2 linked regions of the Oreochromis niloticus genome follow. The protein of the gene in region 1 purifies or fractionates together with the protein of each later gene. This does not show direct contact. Links are inferred from orthologs where the notes say so. Each region holds a gene or a part of one and is shown in the gene's direction. Other genes may lie near its edges.

Evidence for each region.
Region 2: the proteins of pabpc4 (region 1) and mkrn1 purify together in Homo sapiens (affinity purification with mass spectrometry; 3 studies listed by BioGRID and IntAct, with this or other methods). This does not show direct contact. The link is inferred for Oreochromis niloticus from reciprocal best matches to the Homo sapiens genes PABPC4 and MKRN1.

Annotation. Positions count from the first base shown.
Region 1 is NC_031983.2:27,564,475-27,572,506, forward strand, and holds the start of pabpc4 (polyadenylate-binding protein 4), read left to right. Parts: upstream 1-4,961; 5' UTR 4,962-5,383; coding exon 5,384-5,576; intron 5,577-7,817; coding exon 7,818-8,011; intron 8,012-8,032. Other genes in the region: zpcx (zona pellucida protein C), read left to right, coding at 1,896-2,315, 2,387-2,499, 2,568-2,641, 2,714-2,885, 2,970-3,075, 3,144-3,229, 3,301-3,377, 3,462-4,326 and 1 more.
Region 2 is NC_031981.2:931,537-939,416, reverse strand, and holds the start of mkrn1 (putative E3 ubiquitin-protein ligase makorin-1), read left to right. Parts: upstream 1-4,873; 5' UTR 4,874-5,026; coding exon 5,027-5,100; intron 5,101-5,723; coding exon 5,724-5,855; intron 5,856-7,880. UniProt on the Homo sapiens protein: E3 ubiquitin ligase catalyzing the covalent attachment of ubiquitin moieties onto substrate proteins. These substrates include FILIP1, p53/TP53, CDKN1A and TERT.

The DNA of each region.
Region 1 (8,032 bases):
TGACGGAGATTCTACTAAAGAAATGGGAACAATCTGTAAAATTCTTTAAGACAAAGAGCCGAAAGTTACAATTTAAATTTGTTTTTGTTTTTTTGTTCTAACGTGTCTGTTATGTGTAGACAAAAAACTGGTTCCTATGAGTTAAATCCCTTTTTAATGATTAAGTGACTCATATGTCAGTGTTAAGTGTCTTAACAAATGTAAAACACAAAACAAAAACAACCAAACACTCTTCCAAAAATTGTCAGGTACAAGGACGGGACTGAAAATGAGTGAAAACGCAGCCAATGTTCAAAGAAAACCTTTGAAAGACCTCCAGAAAACCCAGTGGAAAAAAATGTCTCTTTGGAAGCTAAATGTAAAGAAATGAGGGAGGCTCAAGATTTTTGCACAGTACTGCATTTGCCTGCTCGAGCCTTATATTGCTGGGGAGAGACCTATGTTACAAATGTCAAAATTTCCTTACTTTGCACAATCACAACAATACCAGTGTCAAATAAAAGAACAAAGTGTTGGGCAAATGCTCTGTATTCAGTGGGTCTTAATCGATTAATCGGCTGTTAAAACAAAAAGCAGACACTCGTCTGTTCACAACCAGCATCAGTGGGGAATTAGTCACATTTCTAAATTTGAGATTTAGAAATCTCAAATTAAAAACCACATTCAGTGCCCTAAATTCAAAATAGCAAGCAATTATTTTTACCTTGTAACAAACAACGTCCTTATCTGACAGCCATCTCATGAGTTCTCAGTTAATCTGGGTTACGCGCCTGCCATGCATGACTTGCCTGGCCTTTAGGTGCAAGCATCATGCACCCAAGTCTCCTTTAGTCAGCTTTTTGACAATGGCTCCACCTAGATGAGGCAGAAGGTGGTGTGCTCCTGTTTATGTCTTTCTTTAATCATTTATAACCAATTTCCTCTTTTGTGCTATCCTTCAGCTCCTTTCATTCCCTGAAAGTATTCCAGAATTATAGTGTGATTTTGTTTTCTGCCATGTGTGACTACACACATCTAACACATGTAATCTTAAAACTTAAATCTCAAGGTTTGCTCAACATAGAAGAAGAGCCAGAGTTAAATTACATGTCTTTCATCTACTTAATAGAAATATATAATTTTGAAGATTGTTGCCTAAGAAAATACTATAACATAAATGCAAGTTTTTTGGTGTTATTTTGTCTACTTGTAGAAATTAGATTAACCCAAACTATCCAAGTTTTCACAGCTTTTGGTTTGTTCAGATTGTAGCCGAGGAATGGCCTGCCAGAAAACTTAACCTTCAAGTTTTCATGTTGTCACCAAGCCCACAAACACCTTACAAACAGGCATAATTCTTATATCCAGCACCATATTTTTTGTGTTTGGAGTCTACTAAAACAGTTTTTCATAATTTACAGTTCCATATAATCCTGATTTATCTTAAACTGGGCCTTGGTAAACTGGGGCCCTAACAAATTTCCCATGTGTGGGACTAATAAAGGTTATCTTATCTTGGTGCAGCTCTTCAGTGTCCCTCTGTCTGAAACAAGCTGTTTTTAGCTCGTCTCCATATAAAGCCACCCTGTCTTTATGCCTTTATGGAATAGCTCTCAAGAACAGGTTTAAACAGCAGCTGGTTGGGCCTTCAGTGGAGTGATTTCTAAAACCAAGTTCTGAACAACCACAAATGTGAACAAAATACACATTTTGCTTCATTTTATTTTGCATTTTTCACTAACAGCATCTTAGATGCGTCCCATCCAGCTGCCGTGGTGTTAACATTGAATACAGAATCATTTTGAGTCAGCTTCATTGGCTTGATTGCCAGCACCTGTCTCCACTATCGCTGCACCTTATTAATAACGCACTTGTCACAGGAGAATGATCTGAATTGTTGGTCCAGTTTGGGGCTCATGATGGGGACCATGCAGATATCTCTTTGTGTGCTTCTTAGTTGTTTTATTGCTGTTCAGTCTGTTCTGTATCACAATGGCAGATTCACCCAGGATTTTGTGGGAGTTTATGAAAATCGAGTGCCTTTTTCATTTGGAAGAAACTTTGATTTTACTCCGCAAGACACAATCTTCAGCTCCTGGCGATCCTGGAGCCCTGACTTTCACAGGCTAGCTGGACTCTCTCCCTTCCTCAATGTTCCCAGAGTACAGGTGTATTGTGATGCATCGACACTAACCGTGCTGGTTGATAAGAGTGTCGGTGGTCTCAAACTGACTGGAGAGGAAATACAGCTGGGCAATGGCTGCTTCAGCAATGGAGAGCTTGCAAATGAATTTGTCTTCACTTATGGTTTTGATGAATGTGGAACTGCACCTATGGTGAGAATAAAGTTCTGTTGCAGTTCTGCATCTTTTTATGAAGCCTTTACCAAAACTGCACCATCTTACAGGTGGAGGACGACTTGGAGGTGTTCACCAACACCCTGTTCTTGAATCTAAGAAGAATTTCTCCCACCTGGTGGAAAACTCCCTCTGCAGTCCACGTGTTCTGTGTTGCAAAAAGGTGTGCTGTTACTTCAATGTCTGCAGCTAGTCACCAACCCTACTTACAGTAGGTCCATGTATTTACAGGTTGAAAAATATGCCAAAGTTTAGCGACACAACGCTTCCTGAAAATGATGACATTAGCATCAAAGCCATGAGTCGTAAGTAATAAAACTCATCCAACGTCATGTTTTAGCTGCAGCTTAATTTGTAAACGCAGTTCTTTCCTGCAGCGTCCTGGACGAGCGCAGCACAGTCAAATGTCTACAAAAGAGGCCAGGCTGTCAATCTTCAGGTTTTGGCTAAAACCGGAACAAATCAACAGGTTTTCATCAAGTCCTGCTTTGTCTCTGTGTTCCCTGAGCCTCGGGCCAAACCAAGGCAAAGAGTCATATTTAACAAAGGGTAAGTTTTCAGTTGGGGGTTTACCTCAACTGTTTTTGTTATGTCTAACCTTCTAATCGCCTGTGATATCACTGCTTTCTGCAGGTGCGTAACCCCACTGGGTTCCTCCACTACTATAGTGACGTTTGTAGCCTCCAACACAGCAGATGCGGTTAATTTTGTTCTGAACACGTCTTATCTCATTTCTGAGGTAAGTCTCTCGAAACTGATTTCACTGATGTGCAGCTCTGAACTGACTTGTGTACTCTTCTCTACAAGTTGTATATCCACTGTAGCGTGCTGATCTCAGGCCAAGGTGTCACCCCTGGCTCTAAATCCTGCAACTACAATGTGATTGAATCAAGGTATCAATATTCACATAATGTATTTGTTTCTTTCTTTTTCAAATGTCCTATAAATGAAACTTTCCTTTCAGATGGGAGGAACTAAGTGGTGATTTGGAGGCATGTGAGTGCTGTAGCTCAAGGTGTAAAGGCAAAAACCGTCCTGGTGGTGAGTGTTTTGGTTTTCTGTCTGAAGGTGATGGAAGACAGAAATAAACTTTAGAACTGACTTGCTGCATGCATGTCGTTTCAGATGCCAAAGCTATGGTCAGCACTGGTCCCTTTGTCATTGTCGATGAAGATGGTGAGAGAACTCCTCTGCCTTCAGTCTCCGAACAAGAAACTGCTAACATCCCAAACTCCATGCAGTCTGCTCTTCCAGATCCTGCTGATGTGATAGTTTCTGCTGCTTCTATTCCAAGAAGCAAATTCAATGCTGGCCCAGAGGGTGTAGTGGTTGTGAGTCAGGACCCTGCCACCAGGCTGACGCTTTGGCTACCTGAACAGGTGCCTCCTCAGTCTGACTCGAATGACACTCCCACACTGCGTTCTTCAACCACAGATCATGAACCTCATCTGAATCCAACCAATGAGATCAAAGGTCAAAGTTTCAGTAGTCTTTCTCCATCAACTATGAATTTGCCAATTATGGTTAACAGGTGGAAGATTCCTCCACAACCAGCAATTCCAGAGGACTTGAAAAGAAAAAGCCGGTCTGGAAGATCTGGGAACTTTGACAGCAAAGAGGAACCGGTTGACTTTTCTCTGCCAGCTGAGATTAGTGTAAAGTACCTTATGCTGATTAAAGGGCCAAATCCAGCAGAATTGGACAAGACAGCTGCCGTAGAGGAATCCCAAAGTGAAAAATGGCTGCAGAATGAGATTAAGCACCCAAACCGTGATGACCTGCCCCAGATGCTGACCGATGGTGCTGTGATGCCTGAAGGAACACATGAAATCCCACCAATAACACGCTCCAAACTCACCTTTTCCAAAGCTGCTGATGGGTTGCAGACGCTGAGTTATGAGGAAGAGGCAGTGGTGCAGAAGAAAAGTCCAGTGGAAAGAAAACAGTTGAAACTAAAGGGGCTGCAATCAACTTTCTTGAATTTGTTGTGGTAAATGACTTGTTTGCAGTTAGCCGGCAGACTGTTTAATGCATGTGAAGATGGCTGATTTAATTGTCTTCTTTTTTTTTTTTTTTTTTCCTCAGGAGGATGAAGAATGCAGAATAACCACGGCTTACTTTAAACTTGTACTTGAGATAAATAAAACTGATGTACACTAATCTGATCTCATTACTTTTGCTTTTTTAAATAAAAGTTATATTTTTATTAGTCCTTTATTTATCCAGGTAAAAATCTCATTTCCAAGAGAGACCTGGCGTCATAGCAGCGAAAGCCTGAAATACAAGTCGCATCCTTTTTTCTTTTTCTCTTTTTTTTTTTTAAATGACACTGCCGACTAAATAAGGCAGACATACTCATTCACAACATTTCGCCACCGGTGCTCATTAGCGCATCACATTTATTTATTTATTTTTAAAGCCTGTTTATAAAACGCTCCATCCTGGCTACAGTGAAAGGCTTGTATTCCCACCCAGATGTCGCTGTAGGGAGCTGGGCGCTGTAGTTGGGACAGTACCATGTGCGCTCTCCCTTTTACGCCGCATGCTCAGTGTTTTTTCTACCCCAAGTTTGACCCTGGCCACTATTTCCTCCGCACCGTCACTCTCTATAAAGTGCCCATGCTTCCCCCCCGCAGTCTCTTTCCCCGGCCACAAAACAACCGTGAGTGCCCAACTCACTGTTCCTGAAAAACTTAAAATAAAAATAATATAAAAAATATAAAATCCACAAAATCTTAAAAAGTGCAGATCTACTTAAAGAAATAGAAACCTTTTAAAAAAATAGCAAAATATTATTTTAAAAAAACATAAACATCAGGCCTCCGGCTTAACTCGAAGTTGTCGTCTTTTTTAAAGGAAACACTTCAGAAGACACCGGTCTTTATCGCGCTGCTTTTTCCAGGTTTGGCATTTTCAAAACGCCCGATCAGCTGTCTGTGCAGCGTCTTTAAACCAAAGCGCAGTTTGGATCCGGATTACAGACCATACCGACATTTTTCTAGCGTTTTTAAAACGAAGCCTTGCGTTTATCCTCTGAAATCAGCGATATGAACACAGCGACGGGGAGTTATCCGATGGCTTCTCTCTACGTTGGCGACCTGCACCCCGACATCACGGAGGCTATGCTGTACGAGAAATTCAGCCCAGCCGGACCGGTGCTCTCCATTCGGGTCTGCCGAGACATGATCACCCGGCGGTCCCTGGGATACGCTTATGTGAACTTCTCACAGCCGGCTGACGGTAAGCAGGGATGGGATAGCTGTGCTGTGTGAGCACGTTGCCTCCACAAGGCGTGAAAATGTTGACATAGTAGTAATGCGTTTCCAGTCTGCTGTTGAAACCGTTTACAGAGCCCGAAATGAACGCAAATAAATTTGGTTAATGTTAATTTTGCAGTCTGAATTGTTCATAGCAGTTCTTTAGATTGGATCAGTTATTTGACCTACATAAGCACGTCCCAGTTCTGGAGTATGGTTGGTAATATAGCAGCCTGTGTGTGTCTCTAATGTAATTCAAGCCCCCAGAACATGCAGAGTTTAAACTGTCCTTAAAAGTTGGCCAAAATCAACAAACCATCCCCATAAATCACAGGCCTAGATTTGGGTATATGAAGTCTTTTCCTACACCTTTTTAAAAACCAAAATGACCCATTTCTGTGCCTATTTAAAGGGCCAATGAGTTGAGTGAAACTAACTCCCATTGCCCTCTGCTGGCATGTTCACTGAAGGCATGAAAGAGACAAGCACAGCTGAGCCCGCTGCACTGCTTGTTGCTTGTTTGTGCTGCTGGTTGTGTGTAAATTCACTGCAGATTCAAATGGAAAAATCTGATCCTGTTTCTATTTGAATTTAATCCCAGCTTTAATAGCTGGATTAGTTCACTCACACTGTTGGGTTATGTGTTATATCCTCACCACTTAAAGCTGTTAATCTGTCATGATACACAAAAGTGAACGTATATGTAACCGTATCAGCAATGTTGTTAAGTACCTTATGTGATAAAACTGTTTCCAGTTACAATGCAGGAGTATCAAAGCACTGAGCAAAGGTAGCAGGTGTTGTGGTTCTCTTTGGGGCCCGCTGACACTGTTTGTCCTATCAACAAAAAACACCTGTCACAGCTTATCTGCGCTCGAGTCAGTTACCAAAAGCCAAAGTAAAGGAGAGGTTACAAGTGGCTCGCTTCCAGGATATCATTCCGTTACAAACGTGAGAAGAGCCAAAAGTTAGAAGACACCATTTGTTACAAGAGTGTAGACACCAGGGGGGAGGGGGTGTTGGCTGTTGGACATTTAAATGGAGTCCTGAGCACGTGTCTGTGGGGCAGTAGCTTTGTGCCTGAACAATACAGCTACTAATGCAAACCTATAACAAAGCAGTTGTTAGTAAAGAGTGTTTCATATGAAACAGAGCGGTCTTCATGCTTCGCTGTGCTCCCTGCTGGATTTCTTAATGTCACAGTTGTATCTGTAAACAAACACAAACCCGGGTGTCGCTCTTCTGAGCATTCTTTTTAAACTTGTCTCTTCCCCATCAGTGGTAGAGAATGCTCTACTCATACTCCATGCCAGCACATACCTCTCAGGGCCCCTCTCTAAATATAGCTTCCCCCTGTGCAGCCCAAAACGTGCCTGCTCCGTAATGCTTAAATAAAAAGTGGTTAACAATAATGGGTAATTCAAGACCATTGATGGCTCTATTTTCTCTTCTAAACGACACATTTGATATATGAGGGCACAACAGAGGTCACTTTGGCCTTTTTTGAATAAAGTTTCCAACTCTGAACCTTCCCGAAGTCCCCGTTTTTTGACAGTGACCGCACACCTTCCCTGAGCGCACAGGTTGTGAAGTACAATTGCAAACCAAACTGCTGATGCCAGCAGACGCAAGGCAGCTCCGCTTTGTTTACCAGACACTTTCAGCTGGAAAGCCGTGTGTGTGTGCGTGCGTGTGTGTGCGTGTGTGTGTGTGTGTGAACAAAAGGATGTTTGGCATGTGCCCACATGATGTGTGAGGGGGGGAAAGTGTGCATTTGCCTGGGCCTACAGATCACAGAATAAAGGTCAATGCAAACATAATACTGCTCATCTCAACCACATGAGCTGATATTCTGATAGTGTTTAAATGAAGGCCTGCTGCATTGCTAAGTGGCATGTGGCTCAGCAGCATGTGGTTAATCAGAACAGGGAGACATGTGCTCCAAGCTAGCCCACTGCAGCTGCCCCCCACACTTTTCCCAGCTGCTTGCAGAAAGCTCATCAGCCTCATTGTCTGCTGCAGTACCTTCACCCCTTTGGACATGTTAACGGCCTGTTTTAAAGCATTTAAACTGTTTTTCTCTTTTATTATTATAGTGCACGTGTTAAAAATGGCTGCGCTATTATTGTTGCATGGTATCAGCAGATAACAGACCGAAGCATGACTGATGTGTAAATAACCACCAGGGACCTTTCCTGTGACCTCTCTGCTCTTCCTCCGGCAGCTGAAAGAGCTCTGGACACCATGAATTTTGATGTGGTGAAAGGAAAGCCGATCAGAATCATGTGGTCCCAAAGAGATCCCTCCCTCAGGAAGTCGGGTGTGGGCAATGTTTTTATCAAGAACCTCGACAAGTCCATTGACAACAAAGCCCTGTATGACACCTTCTCTGCCTTTGGCAACATCCTTTCCTGCAAGGTACAGTTGACATAACACTGA
Region 2 (7,880 bases), on another chromosome or scaffold:
TGCTGAAGCGGTCCTCCGGACCCTCCAGCGAAGACGGACGAAGGCTGGACAGGCCCCTCGGACCCTCCAGCGGAGACGGACGAAGGCTGGACAGGCCCCTCGGACCCTCCAGCGAAGACGAATGTTGGCTGGACAGGCCCCTTGGACCCCTCTAGCGGAGACGAATGAAGGCTGGACAGGCCCCTCGGACCCTCCAGCTGAAACAGAATGCTGAAGCGGTCCTCCGGACCCTCCAGCGAAGACGAATGATGGCTGGACAGGCCCCTTGGACCCTCCAGCGGAGACGGAAGGCTGAAGCGGTCCCTCGGACCCTCCAGCGACGACGGAATGCTGAAGCGGTCCCTCGGACCCTCCAGCGACGACGGAATGCTGAAGCGGTCCCTCGGACCCTCCAGCGATGACGGAATGCTGAAGCGATCCCTCGGACCCTCCAGCGGAGACGAATGAAGGCTGGACAGGCCCCTTGGACCCTCCAGCGGAGACGAATGAATGCTGGACAGGCCCCTTGGACCCTCCAGCGGAGACGAATGCTGAAGCGGTCCCTCGGGACCCTCCAGCGAAGGCAGACAAATGCTGAAGCGGTCCCTCGGATCCTCCAGCGGAGACGGACGAAGGCTGGACAGGCCCTTGGACCCTCCAGCGAAGACGGAATGCTGAAGCGGTCCTCCGGACCCTCCAGCTGAAACGAATGAAGGCTGAAGCGGTCCCTCGGACCCTCCAGCGGAAACGGATGAAGGCTGAAGCGGTCCCTCGGACCCTCCAGCGGAGACGGATGAAGGCTGGACAGGCCCCTTGGACCCTCCAGCGAAGACGGAATGCTGAAGCGGTCCTCCGGACCCTCCAGTGGAGACGGAAGGCTGAAGCGGTCCCTCGGACCCTCCAGCGAAGACGAATGTTGGCTGGACAGGCCCCTTGGACCCCTCCAGCGAAGACGGACGAATGCTGAAGCGGTCCCTCGGACCCTCCAGCGGAGACGGACGAAGGCTGGACAGGCCCCTCGGACCCTCCAGCGAAGACGAATGTTGGCTGGACAGGCCCCTTGGACCCCTCCAGCGGAGACGAATGAAGGCTGGACAGGCCCCTCGGACCCTCCAGTGGAGACGAATGAAGGCTGGACAGGTCCCTTGGACCCTCCAGCGAAGACGAATGGCTGAAGCGGCCCTCGGACCCTCCAGTGAAGACGGAATGCTGAAGCGGTCCCTCGGACCCTCCAGCGAAGCCTGACGAATGTATCCCGGACGAGCCCCCACATTGTTACGTTCCCCCCGAAGGGGTCTAGGCGTGCGAGTGAGGGGACCAGTAACAAATGAGTCCAGAACAGAATGAAAGGACAACAGACAGGTGCTTTTAGTAAATAAAATAGTCTTTATTATAAATAATCTTAACATAAAGAGCCGGCAACGCCGTTTGACCAATAACACTTAGAAAAAGGAAAAGGTTGCAACAACAAAGAACACAACCAAACACAAACTCCACACCACGAGGAGGCACTTCCAGGGGCCCACAAGCTCACCCTGTCACTAGCAGCGGCTAGCTTTACTGCTGCCGAGGCCCACAAGCTTTCCCCCCACTGACATAAAGACAAGAAAGCTCCTTACCATGCATGGAGGGTTTCACCCCAAGTCCAGCACCCTGAGGCTGTACGCTAAGCGGAAGGAAGGGGGCCGGGGACTGGTGAGTGTCAGCACCACAGTCCAGGATGAGACAAGAAACATCCACGAATACATCACGAAGATGGCCCCAACTGACAGCGTGCTCAGTGAATACCTCAGGCAGCAGAAACCCAAGAAAGAGGAGGAAGGCGAGGAACCATCATGGAAGGACAGGCCCCTGCACGGTATGTACCACCGGCAGATAGAGGAGGTGGCTGATATCCAGAAATCCTACCAGTGGCTGGACAAAGCTGGACTGAAAGACAGCACAGAGGCACTAATCATGGCAGCACAAGAACAAGCTCTGAGCACAAGATCCATAGAGGCTGGGGTCTATCACACCAGGCAAGACCCCAGGTGCAGGCTATGTAAAGATCCCCCTGAGACAATCCAGCACATAACAGCAGGGTGCAAGATGCTAGCAGGCAAGGCATACATGGAACGCCATAACCAAGTGGCCGGCATAGTGTACAGGAACATCTGTGCCGAGTATAACCTGGAAGTCCCGAGGTCAAAATGGGAGATGCCCCCAAGGGTGATGGAGAATGACCGAGCTAAGATCCTGTGGGACTTCCAGATGCAGACGGACAAAATGGTGGTGGCTAACCAACCGGACATAGTGGTGGTAGACAAACAGAAGAAGACGGCTGTAGTGATCGATGTAGCGGTTCCGAATGACAGCAATATCAGGAAGAAGGAACACGAGAAGCTGGAGAAATACCAAGGGCTCAGAGAAGAGCTCGAGAGGATGTGGAGGGTGAAGGTAACGGTGGTCCCCGTGGTAATCGGAGCACTAGGTGCGGTGGCTCCCAAGCTAGGCGAGTGGCTCCAGCAGATCTCGGGAACAACATCGGAGATCTCTGTCCAGAAGAGCACAGTCCTGGGAACAGCTAAGATACTGCGCAGGACCCTCAAGCTCCCAGGCCTCTGGTAGAGGACCCGAGCTTGAAGGATAAACCGCCCGCAGGGGCGTGCTGGGTGTTTATATATATATATATATATATATATATATATATGTATATATATATATATATATATATATATATATATATATATATATATATATATATATTTAATGGTTTATACCTTGTGTTGGGGGGGGGTGTTGTGTGTTTCTGTCTTGTTTTTATGGACATGAAGTCTGCCAATAAAGATTGAATTGAATTGAATTGAAATTTTGCATTTACGTGAGCAGTATTTTAGTCCTGCGTATCACCTCCACGTATCAAATGTCTCGAGGTAAAGACTGTTTTGAATTGACTCTATAAAAATAAACTGAGCCAAATCCTTAATTTGCCCTATAAAGTGGTTTGTAGCCAAATGCATGCAGACTCATGCTGTTCCCATCAGCCTCAGCTGTATTTTGTGTTTTCTACATTATCAAATCTTCTCAAACAACCAAAAATGTTGATGATTGTATTAGCAGTATGGACATTTCAAAGATTTCTATTTTTGTGATTGTTATGATTATTTTAGTCCAGATTTTTCTAGTTGGAGAAAAGGAAACTCTCTTCTTCGGTAATGTTGTTTACACTGACACATTATGGTTGGGTTTAGTTTTCCTCTTATGGCGGTCTCACCTCACGGCCCCATAGAAACTCTGCTATTTGTAGTTTGTGGCTGAGAGCTTAATTGTTCAGGCACAACTTCCCACTGACAGTCAATGACAGTGAATACATCCTGTTGGTCTACAGAGGGAACTGTGTGGGCAAATGAATCTGATACGCAGTTTTAAGGCTGTAACCTGATGCTAGCTGTTGTGTTTGTGCAGCGACCTGCAGAGGTTTGGTGTTGAACATAAACTGTCTCTGTTCATTGGATGGATAAAAGGCTGAAACAAATATATTGTATATATAAATATATATATTTTTCTCTACAGCGACAGAAGTGTAATTATCAGAAACACTGCATAATAACACAACTAAAAATGCCACTTGTCTTAGCCTTGCAACCTTAAAAAAAATTACCCGGAAACTTACAAACAGCACATTAATGGTAACCGAACACTTTTACAACACTTTTTTCTCTAATTCCAAGAAAGTGGAAGTAGAGAAAGGGGAAATGAAGAATAAAGTTTGACAGGGTAAGAATGAATGAATCTGATTCTTGTAACCGGGTGATGCTTTACCACTTACTCTGTTCATTGTGTTAGATTTCTTTGTTTAATGGTATAAATATATTGGTAATAAACACATTACCAACTCATGACGCTAAAAAGAACCTAACATAGTCAGTGGTAAAGACTTTGATTTTTATCTTGTTGCTTAGGCTGTGGGCGGCCAACCTGGCAGGGCTGGGTGGGACACGGGCATCAGGTGGGCAAGCTGGGGAGGAAGTGACTAAAGCTTTAAAATGAAGTTGTCTCAAGACATTCTGCCATGACCATGACAACTTAAAGAAATCTAAACTTGTGTTCTTCAGCTTTTTTGTTTTCAGTGAAGCTAATTGTGACCAAAACATGTGAGCATTTTGATCATGAAAGCTTGAACGGTGACAAAGGTGATTTCTATTGTAGAAGGAATGCCACGGGCGTGTTCAGCTGTGAGATCTGCTGTGGATAATGGACCATGACCCTCCCACCAGTCCACACATGTGGAACAGAATGAATCACACCTCAGTGCACCCTGTCACTTTATACACCACAACATATATTTGTCCTTTTATATTTATATTCATACCTATATCAATATCTCTGTTTCTACGCTCATTTTATGTGAGTGCTTGATGTTTCTTGTGTATTTCCTGCAATGACAACTAAATTTCCCTCTGGGACTAAGAAGGTTTCGCTGATTCTTCGTCTTTATATTGCTTATTGGCGGTTGGCAAACAGCAAAATGGTGCATTAGCGCCACCAACTGATGTGGAGTGTCGATTCTGGTATCTGCCAAAGGGGGCTACTTTGATGAGTCAAAAGTTTAGAAGATATTTTGGTTCATAAATTGATTTCATGATTTATTTTTTAACTCCAGTTGCGTATTTGTACCATGCTTTCATTTCAGAGGAAAATGAGACATTAAACTGCATAATTTTCAATAAAAAAAAACTTGGGGTGTTCTAAAACGTTTGTGTTGTTAAATTGAATGATATCAGACAGACACAAATATTTGATGGAACCTTCCGAGCCTGGTTCTTCTTCATGATTAATAGAAATGATGCTTGCTTCAACTGATCCTGATTATTTAGAAGGTTGCACATCTAACCCACTGCGGGTCTGCTCCTCACAGTGTGTGCCAACGGTGCCGCGTAGTGGACAGCGGTCTGCACGGAGACGGGTTTTCGGTAAACTTCGACTTAAATTGTCCACAAACGAAAGATGCCGAGCTCGAGCGAAACTGTCCGGAACATCCGGCTGTAGCTTCTCAACATAAACAGCAATGGCGGAGGCAGCAGCAGCGTCAACGGCGGCTTCAGCAGTAACAGGCGGTTGGACAAAACACGTAACCTGCAGGTAGGACAAGACAATAGAACTAGCACATTTAGACGGCGATGGCACACCGTGTCGTTTGACGCCAGAATAACGCTGCCAGGGCAGCTTGTGAGTGACTGACGGGAATGTCTTTCAAGGGTCCGCTCAGCTGTTCGCGGAGCTAGCTGTGATGTTGTCATGTTCGCTGTGTTGTGGTCACACAGCAGCCTGGTGTGCTAGTTTAGCCGCCGTCCTGCTAGCTACGCTTTCAACAATCAGATCGGCAACGCTGAACTGTAAAGCTAGTGTCACACAGCGGCCCCTCGACGAAAGCTTTGAAGCTAATCTCAGCTAGCAGTTCTCAGTAGTTTCACATTAAAACCAACAAATTAATCGGCGTTTAAACCAGCGGCTTTAACTAGTTGTTGCCTTTCGGTGTCATATCATCTGCTAGGTTCACATCCGGACCAAGCTAGCGCCGCGGTCCCTTAAACATGACCGCGATGGCGTTATGAGTATGAAAGTAAAAGATGACATCGACACGCATTTGATTTGCTTACATCCAAGTGACTGGCAGGCTGCTTTTTAACGTTGATACTGGGATCTAAAAGGAAACGCGCTGTTTAATGTGTTAAGTAAACTTTGATTTTCTTTTGTTTTTCCAGATATTTCATGCACGGTCTGTGCAAAGAAGGGGAGAACTGTCGATATTCCCATGACCTGACCAGCAGTAAACCTGCCAGCATGATTTGCAAATTCTTTCAGAAGGGAAACTGCGCGTTTGGGGACCGTTGCAGGTAAAGACTGAACTGACACCAGAACGGGAATGTGCACCTGAGCGAAACTGAGCTTGCATGTTCGTGGTGCGATGCAGCAGCCCTGTAACGTGTTTTCAGCTGAGAGCTGAGCTGCTTTCTAAAAGTGGCAGCATAGCAGGTTTGCTAGCAGGGCTTCTCAGAAGTGTTCCCCTCAAGTAGATGTGACACCTGAGACTGCGCCTTAATGTCACCATGTTGTTGGTCTGTGTGTGTGGCAGCTTTATGTGGGGTCAGGGGTCACAATCACACATGAGGACCTGCTGTTTTGCTCTACTGGATGAACTCTTGTATTTAAAATGAGTGCCTGGGTCGTGCTGTGCATTTTACACACATGGCTACACACAGTGTGACTCTGTCTTCAGAGGCCGAGATTAGTAGGATGACAGTTTTAGAACATGCATTGACAAATTTAATTAAAATCTGACAGAGTATGACTTGTAAGTAGCTTATTTTGTAGAAGGACTTGTGGCAATTCTAAGGGTGTTTTAATTTAAATGTTAGCGAATATTTTTTTATTTATATATAAGTACACACAAGCATTAGATTATTTATATTGACCAAAAGAAGATGGTGAATTTTCCGCAGGGTTCTGATTGCTTTAGATTGAACAAGTTATTATTTATTCTTACTGTTGCAGAAAGAATGAAAGAGATGAGCAGCTCTTCATTGGTTCAGCAGCGAAATATAAACAAAATATACAACAATATACAAATGTTTCTTGGCACTTTACTTCTATTCTTCTCAATTTTAATGAAAATACAGTTGTACAGACCAAAACCTTTGTTAACAAGGTGAAGATTGTTTCAACCCTGCGTTGTTTTAGCACACAGCATGTTTGTATTATATTAGTAAACAACAACATGCATACATACTAACGAGGCTCAAACATGCAGAGGTCTTTTTGAAAAGTGGATTAGGCTCCCAGTCAAGTCCTCAGACAATCAGCAGAGACAGTGTTTGCTCCAGTTAGATCCTCTTCGCTGGTGAGTCAGTCTGAGGACCCCAGCAGCAGCAGGGACTCAGTGGTTTCACACACACTCGCATCTTTCTTTAATAGCATGTTTGCCTTTATGAAGCCTTCACTTTGCTATGTAGTACTGAGTTACTGTTGTGTGTGGTGTTGTTGTTAAGTCACGTTCCTCCCTACCTGTGATTGAGCTGCACCATGGACGTGCTCTCGTTATTTTGGAGGCTCCACAGGCCTTTGCACCCTGCATTGAAAGTCCAGAGAAAGACTCTCGCTGTGGGGGTTTATTAAGGTTGAATTCCCTGGGCTCTATCTATTGTGATGCACTCCGTTTTGTTCTTTCACTGTGTCTGTCTCTCTGCTGCTTTCTCTTCTGCGGCCCCCAGGGCCAGACAGGGTGCACTGCAGCCTGCATGGCAATTGCATAATGCTCCATCTCTGTGTGTCTGTTTCTCTCTGTTGCTGGGTTCCCCAGGTTCACTGTGCTGCAGCTCCCTCCTCTCATTTCTTTATGCATTGCCTCAGCACAGTGCCCTCCCCTCCCCACTTATTCAACACTCCACAGTCTAGGAATAGTCTGCTTGTGCTCTGAGCTAGCCTTAACATAAAGGAGAGAAAAAACAAGCAAGGGGAGAAAAAGATGCATAAAATAACAAAGCAGGAAATGTGCTGGTAATTAAGATTTACTCAGTAAATGGTTAAGAAAATGACAAAAGAAAGCACCAGAAAAGCAGGATGATGCCATATTGAGCCCACATTGAGTCAAGGTGCATGATTTGTACCTGATGCATGCACACCTAGTTGTTCAGAGATAGCACAGGTAGGACTGAGTTTATGCAATTTTGAACACAGGTAAAAGGAGAGCCACAGGGACGTTTAATTCTAACAAATTATGAAATGGAAAGTGTGTGTAAGGTTTAGAAATGGCCTGCTTTCATTCAAAGTCATGTTTACCTTGTGATCTCTGTCCCAGTTATGATAGGGCAATAATTTAATTAAGAGTTTTAGATCTCGCTGTAGAAGTCACATTCTGCACT